Mus musculus: one gene and its partners. Each later gene encodes a partner of the first gene's protein in a complex. Links are inferred from orthologs where the notes say so. Each region holds a gene or a part of one and is shown in the gene's direction. Other genes may lie near its edges.

The links.
Region 2: the proteins of Ptpn11 (region 1) and Pdgfrb are in contact, whole or in part, in a crystal structure (PDB 1AYA), measured with the Mus musculus proteins. Residues at the interface, in NP_001103462.1 of Mus musculus: Gly13, Val14, Glu17, Arg32, Pro33, Ser34, Lys35, Ser36, Thr42, Thr52, His53, Ile54, Lys55, Leu65, Gly68, Gln87, Leu88, Lys89, Glu90, Lys91, Gly93, Ile96; in NP_032835.2 of Mus musculus: Ser1005, Val1006, Leu1007, Tyr1008, Thr1009, Ala1010, Val1011, Gln1012, Pro1013.
Region 3: the proteins of Ptpn11 (region 1) and Gab1 are in contact, whole or in part, in a crystal structure (PDB 4QSY), measured with the Homo sapiens proteins. The link is inferred for Mus musculus from reciprocal best matches to the Homo sapiens genes PTPN11 and GAB1. Residues at the interface, in NP_002825.3 of Homo sapiens: Gly13, Val14, Glu17, Arg32, Pro33, Ser34, Lys35, Ser36, Thr42, Arg47, Thr52, His53, Ile54, Lys55, Leu65, Gly67, Gly68, Tyr81, Gln87, Leu88, Lys89, Glu90, Lys91, Ile96; in NP_002030.2 of Homo sapiens: Lys623, Val625, Glu626, Tyr627, Leu628, Asp629, Leu630, Asp631, Leu632, Asp633.

Annotation. Positions count from the first base shown.
Region 1 is NC_000071.6:121,160,257-121,163,904, reverse strand, and holds part of Ptpn11 (tyrosine-protein phosphatase non-receptor type 11), read left to right. Parts: intron 1-650; coding exon 651-767; intron 768-1,082; coding exon 1,083-1,196; intron 1,197-3,648. UniProt on the Homo sapiens protein: Acts downstream of various receptor and cytoplasmic protein tyrosine kinases to participate in the signal transduction from the cell surface to the nucleus. Positively regulates MAPK signal transduction pathway. Dephosphorylates GAB1, ARHGAP35 and EGFR.
Region 2 is NC_000084.6:61,072,565-61,076,212, forward strand, and holds part of Pdgfrb (platelet-derived growth factor receptor beta isoform 2 precursor), read left to right. Parts: exon of another isoform or gene 1-59; intron 60-65; coding exon 66-198; intron 199-676; coding exon 677-781; intron 782-1,063; coding exon 1,064-1,174; intron 1,175-3,648. UniProt on the Homo sapiens protein: Tyrosine-protein kinase that acts as a cell-surface receptor for homodimeric PDGFB and PDGFD and for heterodimers formed by PDGFA and PDGFB, and plays an essential role in the regulation of embryonic development, cell proliferation, survival, differentiation, chemotaxis and migration.
Region 3 is NC_000074.6:80,768,920-80,772,567, reverse strand, and holds part of Gab1 (GRB2-associated-binding protein 1), read left to right. Parts: intron 1-391; exon of another isoform or gene 392-1,972; intron 1,973-2,794; coding exon 2,795-2,917; intron 2,918-3,648. UniProt on the Homo sapiens protein: Adapter protein that plays a role in intracellular signaling cascades triggered by activated receptor-type kinases. Plays a role in FGFR1 signaling. Probably involved in signaling by the epidermal growth factor receptor (EGFR) and the insulin receptor (INSR).

The DNA of each region.
Region 1 (3,648 bases):
CCCCTGCCTCCTCAGCACTGCTGTTTCCTGTCCTTCAGAGTACGGTGCTGTTGGGGTTTCTGTTTCTGGGAGTCAGTCTCTAGGTTTCCGTTGATTGCAGTTCAGGTTTCTGCAGTTGGCCAGTTCAGTGCACCCATCACTCACTGCACACTACTTCAGATGCCCTCCCAGCCAATCTCCAGAGTATGCAACACTGTTGTCGTTGCTTCTGACTGGGGCTCCTGAGCCTGTTCACCATCCAGAGCATCTGTGGATCTTCCCCTGCCCCTAAGTCCTTCATAGTCACCATTTGACCTCTTGTCACAGTGTCTTGGACTTTTTTCCTTGGATACTACATATAAATGAGGGGACACTGTATGCTCCTTTCGCACTTGGATCATTTGCTTTACTGGGAGGCTCTCCTGCCTCATCCACTTGCCACCAATGACAGGGTTCTCTTGTCAAGGCCAAGTGTGGCTCCACTGTGATGACGTGGACACGAGGTATGTTAACATGATACATGTGTGTCTTATTCTCATCATGCTCTCTAGACAGACATGTGGCTTGTGTCTATGTACAGGTTCATGTCACTAAGAACACAGTGGCTGCAGGCAGGTAGGGAGACAGGAATGTAGCATGAGGTAATGGCGCCATCTGTTTGGTTTTGAAAGGAGCTGAAATACGACGTTGGTGGGGGAGAGCGCTTTGACTCTCTGACAGACCTGGTGGAGCATTACAAGAAGAACCCCATGGTGGAGACGCTGGGCACAGTCCTGCAGCTCAAGCAGGTCAGGATCCATGAGGACTGGCTAACAGGGGAAAGGGCTCAAGGGTCATTCCACAGCCACGTGACCCTGTTGCTTTGGGCCTGTGATGGCACATTTACCATGGCAGGAGCACACTCAGCACACAGGGATTACTACACATCTGAGAAACAGACAAGAAGGGGCGCTGATCTGCTGATCTGCTTCAGTGACACCCCCCCCCCCTCCCAATTTGGGATGATGTGCCTCCTGCCTTTGCTTCTGTGAAGTCTTTTTCTTTCTGCATTGATACTGTTTAAAACATGCTTTCTCCTTTTCCACCACTGCTGAACACAACAGCCCCTCAACACAACTCGTATCAATGCTGCTGAAATTGAAAGCCGGGTTCGAGAGTTAAGCAAGCTGGCTGAGACCACAGATAAAGTCAAGCAGGGCTTTTGGGAAGAGTTTGAGGTAAGTCACTGACAACTTGTTTTTCTGTGTGCTATTAGATGATGTTTAAACAGGTGAGAGGGCTGCACTGAGGCCTGGCTTCCTTTGCTGTGTGTGTGGCCGGTTGCTGAGAGACTTCTTTGAAGCAGAGGGGCATTGTGTTCCTGGGAAGGGTTGGCAGCTTGTCTCAGACAGATGTGCCAGCGGCTCCATTTACTTTTTGGTTCAGACCACTGGCAGGACCCCAGGAAAGCAGAAGGATAGAATTTCTCTGGCATCTGAGGGGCTTCAGACAAAAGGCAGCTTCAGTGCCATGTGTGAGGCCAGGAGAAGGGGCCTGGCTGTGAGTTCACAGCATAGCAGGGAAGTGAAGGGGCTGACCTCTGTCTTGAGCCCTGCTCGTGTGTGGGCCTGACTGTGGCCCTGTGCGCTCATATGCTGCCGACCCATGTGTCCTCTGGTTTGTCTGTCTTCTCTCCTTGCTCCTTTGACCAGAGCTTTACAGACAGATCTTCTGTCCTTGTTCCCTCCACAGTCACTCACCTTATGTCACTCACCTTATGTCACTCATGCCTGCACATAGCACAAACCTACAAATGTCTGTGCACTGTCTGCGTTTATATTTTGTTTTGTTTTTTCCAGACAGGACTTCTCTATGTAGCCCTGGCTGGCCTGGAACTTGCTCAGTAGACCAGGTTGGCCTCCAGCTTAGAGATCTGCCTGCTTCTGCCATCCCATGCCCATTTTAGAGAATATTTTTAATTTATTCTTTGATAGTTTGGAATGCAGCTAACACGCACCCTCCTCCATTTTCCCCTCCCTTTCCCTCCTTTCTGTTTCACAGGACTGGTTAGTCTATGCTTTGTGTAGGACTTGAGGATTCAGCAGCTGTTTGTGCCACCATGTGCCAGACAGCTTTCAGAGAGAGGTGCTAGTTCCATTCCACAGAGGAGTGTGAGGTCAGAGAGGTCGAGTAGATTGTCCACCCTCCTTAGCACAGATGTTGATAATCTCAGCCCTGGAGATGGGCCCATCCTAGAACATTCTTGGTGCTTGCTCTGCAGTGATGCATAGGGACTAGAACTTGGGTCTGGTCTCATATGAGCCATTGGGGTGGACTCTTTGAACACCATTCCGAAGTTTCCTGTTGAGAGAGACAGGGATAAAGGTGTCAGTGAAGGTCTGATGAGAGCAGAATGAGCCATGTGGCCATCTTTAAATTATTTATTTAGTGATTGGTCCTGCGGATCCAGTGCAGGACCTTGTGCAGGCAGAGCCTGTGCTGTCCCACTTAGCAGCACTTCATATTATCTTCCTCTTTTTCTCAAGATTGAATATTTCTATAAAGATGAGCCTTTTGCCACAAGTGTATAGCCAGTAGTTCATACTTGGTTGTCAATAAAATACTGTTCTCCAGTGTATTAATTACTATAAAGTAAAGGATATTTTAATATAGTCTTCAACACGAGGGTGAAGAGAGAAAGAGGAGCTGGGGAGATGCTGAGCCATCTTTGCAGCCCCCAGCTCTGAGTCTTCTGAGTGTAGCGCAGAGGAGATGATAGACTGCAGCTTCAGGTAGACATGTTCAGGTTTGCCTTGAACATAGTCTGTACCATTTCAGCCAGGAGTTGGCCCTGCTGTGGGAAACCAAAGCCCGCCAGACCTTACTCTCAAGAGAGGAAGAAGCTGGGGTCTTGCCATCCTCCCTGTCTATCTGTGTTCCTTTCTCCATCTACCTCCCTGTCCAGGATCTGCCTAGCTGCTAGTCCCTCATCTCTACCTCCCAACTGCTGGGATTCCAGTATGCACCGCCATCTCCCCGGTTCACCCTTTGCTCCGTGGCCATGGAAAACAAATTGTAGATGGCTTCCTTCCCTTCATAACACATGAGTTCAGCCTGTCTTTTATACACCAATAATAGCATAAAAGGAAAAAGTGAGTGGCTTTGTGTGCGGTGAACCAGTCAGGCTCCCATCTGTATTGTTGGGGTTGTCAGAGCATTGAGGGGTGGGTCCTGCAGATGAGATCTCAGATTGTCCCCAGCTCTCCAGGGAAGTCAGCCTTAAGAAACTGCCCGTTGAAACTGGAGTTGGGTCCATGAGGCTAAGGAAGAAAGGCTACTGCAGGTTGGGTTGTCGGAAGTTTACTCCTATTATAGTTTCAATCCCTGAAGCTAAAGTTTGAGCCTCACCTGCAGAACACTGTTATGAGCACGTCAGAACTGCTTCCTAGAGAATGATGAGTGCAGCATCCCGTGTTCCACGGTGTGCTCTGATTGGGGCTGGGGAGGTGGGGTGGTGGTGGTGGATCTCACCTTTCGAAGTGCACTCTGATGAGCTTTCAAAGGAGCCTGAATTCTACTACTTGAGTTGCTGCAGGGTGCTGTTATTAAGAGGAGGCTGGAGGGAGCAGGTTGTGAACCCATCAGCTTTTACTTGGGACTGTTAAGAGTTTTGTGTGTGTGTTTGTTTGT
Region 2 (3,648 bases), on another chromosome or scaffold:
CCTGATAGGCTCAAGGCCAAAGATGCCCTCTGACAGTCTCATCTGTTATTGGTCTTGTCCTGCAGAAGCCACGCTATGAGATCCGATGGAAGGTCATTGAGTCTGTGAGCTCTGACGGTCATGAGTACATCTACGTGGACCCTGTGCAGTTGCCTTACGACTCCACCTGGGAGCTGCCACGGGACCAGCTTGTTCTGGGTCAGTCCTAAGAGGTGTTAAGCAGCAGTGGGCACACTCAGATTTGCTCCCATCATGGTTGCTACTAGCTAAGGCATAGAGCTGATATCTTGCATCCTCTGGATCTCACTATCCTTTCTATATGGTGAAGATAAGGTGACCCCATAGCACCAAAACTCAGGGATCCCAAGACTGATATGGGACCCCTTCAGGTCAAAGAGGAAGTCCTTTGGATGTAGGCCAGGGAGTCTGAGGCAGGTGCAAAGGAGTTGTGCGTGTCCCTAAGAGACAGGAGGTCTTTCAGGGACTACAGGGGAGGCAGATAGCATGCAGGATCTAGAGGAGACCCAGAGGATGGGAAACTTCCCAAGGGGAGCACAGTAGGGCGGTTGGAGGGATGTGGAGGGTGATCTAAGGGAATATTCCCCAACCTAAATGGGAAATGGGATGAAGCTTGAAGCTTTAGCTTCCAGGAGCTGAGGGTCTCTATGCATCCTAGGACGCACTCTTGGCTCTGGGGCTTTCGGACAGGTGGTGGAGGCCACAGCTCACGGTCTGAGCCATTCGCAGGCCACCATGAAAGTGGCTGTCAAGATGCTGAAATGTGAGTCCACCCGCCCCTTCTTCACACCCGAGGCCTCACTCGGTCCCTCCCTTCCCTGGGCTTTTTGTTTCTTCTGAAGGAGCCTGGCCCTGAGGTTGTGGGACCGAAGGGTGCTTCTTCCTCCTTCTCTCCCCGCCTCCCACCTTCTTCCCTCTCTAATACAGTCCACCCTAGGACACTGGTGGTGTGACAGGATGGGGCAGAGGAAGCAGAGTAGGCCCTGGCAGGGCCTCTATACCACCTCAGTGGCCCACCCAGGCTGAGTCCCTCTCCCCCCTCCAGCGACAGCCAGAAGTAGCGAGAAGCAAGCCTTAATGTCCGAGCTGAAGATTATGAGTCATCTTGGACCCCACCTGAACGTGGTCAACCTGCTGGGGGCCTGCACCAAAGGAGGTACCGAACCCACAACCTGGAGGATTCTGGGGCTCCTCTCTTTCCTGTTCTCCCTCAGTCCACCAGCAACACAGGACACTCCAGCAGAATGTCCACACACCTGCCGCTCAGCGTTCTTATTGCACTGTCCTAGATGGACTTAGTTTCAGGATCTCAGAATCACAACTCCTTCATGATGAAGAGATTCTTCAGGCCGCTAGTTCCTGCAGCTTTAGAATTCAAGTCTTTTATGACTCTTCCTTCCTTCCTTCCTTCCTTCCTTCCTTCCTTCCTTCCTTCCTTCCTTCCTTCCTTCCTCCCTCCCTTCCTTCCTTCCTTCTTTTTTCTCTCTTTCTTTCTCTCTTTCTCTCTCTCTTTCTCTCTTTCTCATTCTTCCTTCTCTCCTTTTTTCCTTCCTTCCTGTCTCCTTCCTGTCTCCTTTCTTTCTTTCTTTCTTTCTTTCTTTCTTTCTTTCTTTCTTTCTTTCTTTCTTATTCTCTCTCTTCCTTCCTCTCTCTCTCTTCCTTCCTTTCTTTCTTCCTTCCTTCCTTCCTTTCTTTCTTTCTTTCTTTCTTTCTTTCTTTCTTTCTTTCTTTCTTTCTTTCTTATTCTCTCTCTTCCTTCCTCTCTTCCTTCCTTCCTTCCTTGCCTGCCTGCCTGTCTGCCTGCCTGCCTGCCTTCATGATGAAGTCTTGCCTGTATGTCAGTGTTCCTGTGTGTGTGTGTGTGTGTGTGTGTGTGTGTGTGTGTGTGTGCGTGCATATGTATGTGTGTCTGGTACTTGAGAAGGCCAGAAGAGGTCATCAGATCCTCTGAAACTGGAGTGACAGATGGTTGTGAGCCAGTGGGTAGGTGCTCGGTATTGAACCAAGGTTGTCTGCATGAACAAGTGCTCCTAACAGCTGACCATCCCTCCCACCTCCTTTTTCATATTTCCACAATACATTTTGAAAACCGTGAGAAAGTAACAGAGCCCATCCATGTACTAACCAGGAACTGGCTTTGTTTACATCAGTGTTGGAAGTCATTCTGCCAACTGCGATGATCTGAGGGCCTGGTTACCCACTGGGCTGTCAACATCGTAATAATCATGAAGTTATTGCCCTTTGCAGCTGCTTGTTGTGAGATCTGGGATTTTCCTCGGTGTTGTGTAATCAGCCTAAATACAGAAGTACATTGCGCATGGACTGTTGTCTGTGCTTGCAATGACCGTATTTCTTTTTTTTTTCTTTTTTTAAAAAAAGAATTCTTGTATCTTTATTCATGAGGGTTCTACTTCTCTTATAGGCCTTTTATATTTCTATCAAGGCAAAACATACTTCATTATAAATAAAGGAGGCAGCTCCCTCCACTTTCTCAAGTAATTGTTTAAAACTAATATTGGAGGAGCTAGAGAAAGCTCCCAAGGAGCCAAAGGGGTCTGCAACCCTGTAGGTGGAACAACAACATGAACCAACCAGTACCCCCGGAGCTCGTGTCTCTAGCTACATATGTATCAGAAGATGGCCCAGTCGGCCATCATTGGGAAGAGAGGCCCCTTGGTCCTGCAAACCCTATATGCCTCAGTACAGGGGAACACCAGGGCCAAGAAGTGGGAGTGGGTGGGCAGGGGAGTGGGGGCGGGGGAGGAGAGTCTGGGGGACTCCTGGGATAGCATTTGAATGCAAATGAAGAAAACACCCAATCAAAAGTATAAATTAATCAAAAACAACCCCTAATATTATATTCATACTTAAATGTTTGACAGAATTCACCAGTAAAGATATTAGACTTAGAATTTTCTTGGGATTTTATTTGGGGAACAGTAGAGAGACCGAATCTATGTACGAATTGTCCTGGAACTTGCTATATTCACCAAAATGGCCACAAACTCACTGAGACATGTCTGCTGAAAGCTGGAATTAGTATTGTGCAAGCCCCAGCTTGGAAGATTTTTTTTTAATTTTTTAAAATTAGGTTATTTTCTTCATCTACACCTCCAACGCTATCCCAAAAGTCCCCCACACCCTCCCCCACACTCCCCCACCCACCCACTCCCACCCCCTGGCCCCGGCGTTCCCCTGTACTGAGGCACATAAAGTTCACAAGACCAATGGGCCTCTCTTTCCAATGATGGCCGACTAAGCCATCCTCTGATACATATGCAGCTAGAGACACGAGCTCTGGGGGGTACTGGCTAGTTCACATTGTTGTTCCACCTATAGGGTTGCAGACCCCTTCAGCTCACTGGGTACTCTCTCTAGCTCCTCCATTAGGGGCCCTGTGTTCCATCCAATAGCTGACTGTGAGCATCCACTTCTGTGTTTGCTGGGCCCTGGCATAGCCTCACAAGAGGCAGCTATATCAGGGGCAATGACCGTATTTCAAAAGTGTTATTTTCATCTGTTAGATGGCTCTCAGTGCATTGAACTTAAGTGTAATCAGCAAATTGCACTAACAGTCACGTTCACCTGCTCTATGTAGAGCAGAATCCGAAATGTGTACCAGTCTGAAAA
Region 3 (3,648 bases), on another chromosome or scaffold:
ATTAAATTTTTAATGCAATATGTTTTGGCCGGGCAGTGGTGGCACACATGTTTGAACCCAAAACTTGGGAGGCAGAGGCAGGTGGATTTCTGAGTTCGAGGCCAGCCTGGTCTACAGAGTGAGTTCCAGGACAGCCAGGGCTACACAGAGAAACCCTGTCTCGAAAAAACCAAAGAAATACATACATACATATATATATATATATATATATATATATATATATATATATATATATATATATGTCATATTCTTTCCCCTCCCCTCCCTTTGAAAGCAAGAAATATGAGGATCCTTCACTATAATAATGTAACTGGGTACATACATATATGGTTTTCTTTTGTTTTGCTTTGTTTTGAGATATGAAGTTGCAGTTGTTAACCTAGGACAGTCCTTTTTCACTGTTCAAGGTTTATTTGGTGTTTTCATTGGCATGACATTTAAGTGGTTGGTTCCATCACCCATATGCAGATCTTACATTTCACATAATATTGCAGTGCACACTACAGACACATATAATACATAAAATATCCTGTAGAATATTTATGCAAAGTTATACATAATGGACGTACACACTGGAGCCAGGTTATGACTAACTGGGAACTCGTTGGCCTAGGCATGCTTGGTGAGGGTGCACAGGGCAGCAATGCAGAAGGCTCGCAGGGTAATCAAAGCCTGCACAGTTGGCAGTGTGTCTCGGAGACAGTGGGACTGTCACACTAACCAGGTTACCACTACACAAGTACCACTTGGCAGCAGGGCAGAGCTGTGGGAACTGAGATGTTTCCCCACACCACCTCAACATCATTGTACTAACCACAGCTCAGATGAGAAGGGTGTGGTCTCCATAGAATCCCTGCTGCAGCCTGGACAGTGAAGTGCGAGGACACTGGGAAGACTTTAGAACTGCAGCTCCTTCTCGATTCCCCAGAGGGTGTCTGCACTCTTCTTCAGGCGGGTCTCTTCCTCAGGAGTCAATGTCACCTTCACAACATCTGAGATTCCATTTTGTCCCAAGATACTTGGGACACTGAGGAAAACGTCATCATTGATTCCATAGAGACCTTTAATCATGGTGGAAATGGGATGCACCCGCCTAAGGTTCTTCGTTATGCTCTTGGCCAAGTCTGCCACAGAGAGGCCAATGGTCCAGGATGTGTAACCTCTCAGCTTGATCGTCGTATATGCACTGTCCACCACCTGCTTTTGAGCCTCCTTCCACTGCTCCTTAAAACAGTCTGTATCAGTGCCCAGTTCTGGGTTCAGAGACTTCAGGGAGACGCCAGCAACGTTCACACCACTCCACACAGGGACACTGGAGTTGCCATGTTCTCCCAGGACCCAGCTGTGACAGCTCAGAGGGTGAACCCCCAGCCTTTCTCCCATCAGGTAACGGAACCGAACTGAACCCAGATGGCAACCACTTCCAATAACTCGACTTTTGAGACAGCCACTGATTTTCCGAGCCACTTAGGTCAAAATATCCAAAGGATTTGAGACAATCAGCAGCGTGCAGTGTGGACTGTACTTGACAATGTTGGGAAGGATGAACTTGAAGATGTTCACGTTTCGCTGGACCAGATTAAGTCAGCTCTCTCCTTCTTGCTGACGGCCCCTGCTGTGATGACCAGCTTGGAGTTTGCAGTCACACAGTTGTCTTTGCTGGAGACCGTTTTTGGTGTTTTAAGGAAGAGGTTGCCACGCTGGAGATCCATCATCTCTCCCTTTAGCTTGTCTTCCATGACATCCGCCAAGTCCTTCATTAAGATACGGATGGCACAAGCCATGCCAACAGCACCAACCCCAACAACTCTAATCTTGTTCTGGGGGACCTGTTCTTCCTTAAGATCCACAGTCAGCTGGTCTTTGAGGGTTGCCATCTTGGACTTTGAATCTTTTGAGACCGCTAGAGCACGATGGGGGGTGATGGGCAAGCAGCAGCGTGGCCTGGGCTCAGCGACAGTGGCTCCAGCACCAGCCTAGGACAGTCTTGAACTTGTAATTCTCCTTCATCATCGGCTTCCGGATATCGGAATTACAAGTGCGCTTTCACACCCAGACCTGCATGGTTTTAAGAATGAGAGCTTTTGCAGCTGTCTGTGACTTGATGTCTAAGACTTTTTTTTATTATTACTCTTTACATAATTCTGAGTGTGTGTGTGTGTGTGTGTGTGTGTGTGTGTGTGTGTGTGTGTGCATCTTGGTTAGGGTTTCTATTGCTCTGAAGAGACACCATGACCACGGCAACTCATATAAAGGAAAACATTCCATTGGGGCTGGTTTATAGTTCAGAGGTTCAATCCATTATCACCTTGGTGGGAAGCATGGCAGCATCCAGGAAGGCCTGGTGCCTGAGAAGGAGCTGAGCATTCTGCTTCTGAGAGGGCAGGCAACAGAAGTGAATGTCTGAGCCGGAGGCAGACTTGAGCTTCTGAGACCTGAAAGAGACCTCAAGTGACACACCCATTCCAACAAGGCCTCACCTCCTAATGGCGCCACTCTCAATGTGCCAATGGGGGGACCATTTTCTTTCAGAGCCTCGCAGTTTGTTTCTGCGAAGGGTTACTTACCTGTGCAAACATGAGTAAAGTTATTTACTTGAGTAAGGGACAGTTACCAGTGGCTACAGCACTCAGGCTGAGTATTAGTTTAACTAAATTTAACTTCAGAGCCCAGGAGTTCAAGACCATTTTTGAACAAGGTAGTGACCCTCCCCATCCCCCAGGGGGAACAAGAGAGGGTGGGAGAAGAGGGCATCTCCTGAGTGTCTGCCCACTGTTCGCTGTTCTGTTTTCAGAATCTCTTTGCCAGCAACAGCCTTGATGGGGGAAGCAGCCCGATGAATAAACCCAAAGGAGACAAACAAGTCGAATACCTGGATTTAGACCTAGATTCTGGGAAGTCCACGCCACCACGGAAGGTAAGTGAGCCCGTGTTCTCTAGATAGGTCAAGCACACTTTGAGGGACCATGTTCTTTGGGGAAAGTTGGGGGCCTGATTATTTAAATTTAGTGACTGTTGTTTCCTAAGTCACAAGCAACAGAATCATGAAGTCTGATAGATTTGTTTCTCCCTTTGTAGAGGTCGGTCAGTTGTGCAGTTTCTACTCGTCATGGTCAGTGCTTTTGCTGTCTTTAGAATGAAGAAAATGTGGCTTGGATGAGTGGGGTAGCCACATCTTTAATCCCAGCACAGGGAAGACAGAATTTATCTGTAAAAAGGAAGAAAAGGAGAACATGGCTCATGGCTCAAGTCATATGCTGTTTTGTCTTAAATTTTAATTTCTATTAAACCTACCAATTACACAGTTTCTTTATAATTCTTTGGTTTTGGTGGGTTTTTTAAATATTTAACATATATGTGGGTATATGCACATGGGTGCAGTGTCCCTCAGAGACTGGAAGAGGGCATTAGCTCCCAGGAGCTAGAGTGACAACGGGTTCAGTTCCTCCGAAAGAGCAGTGTACAGCCTCCCCCACCCCCAGCCCTCCTTCCAGCCCGTGCATCACTGGACTTACTTTGTTATTTAAGTCCTATTTTCTTACATTGTTTTTGGCTTATCATTCTCTCTTAGACTCAGATTTTCAACAGTGTCCTGTTGAAGTCCCTGTAATCTGAAGGTCTTTTGGTAGTGAATTCTTCTCAGGTTGT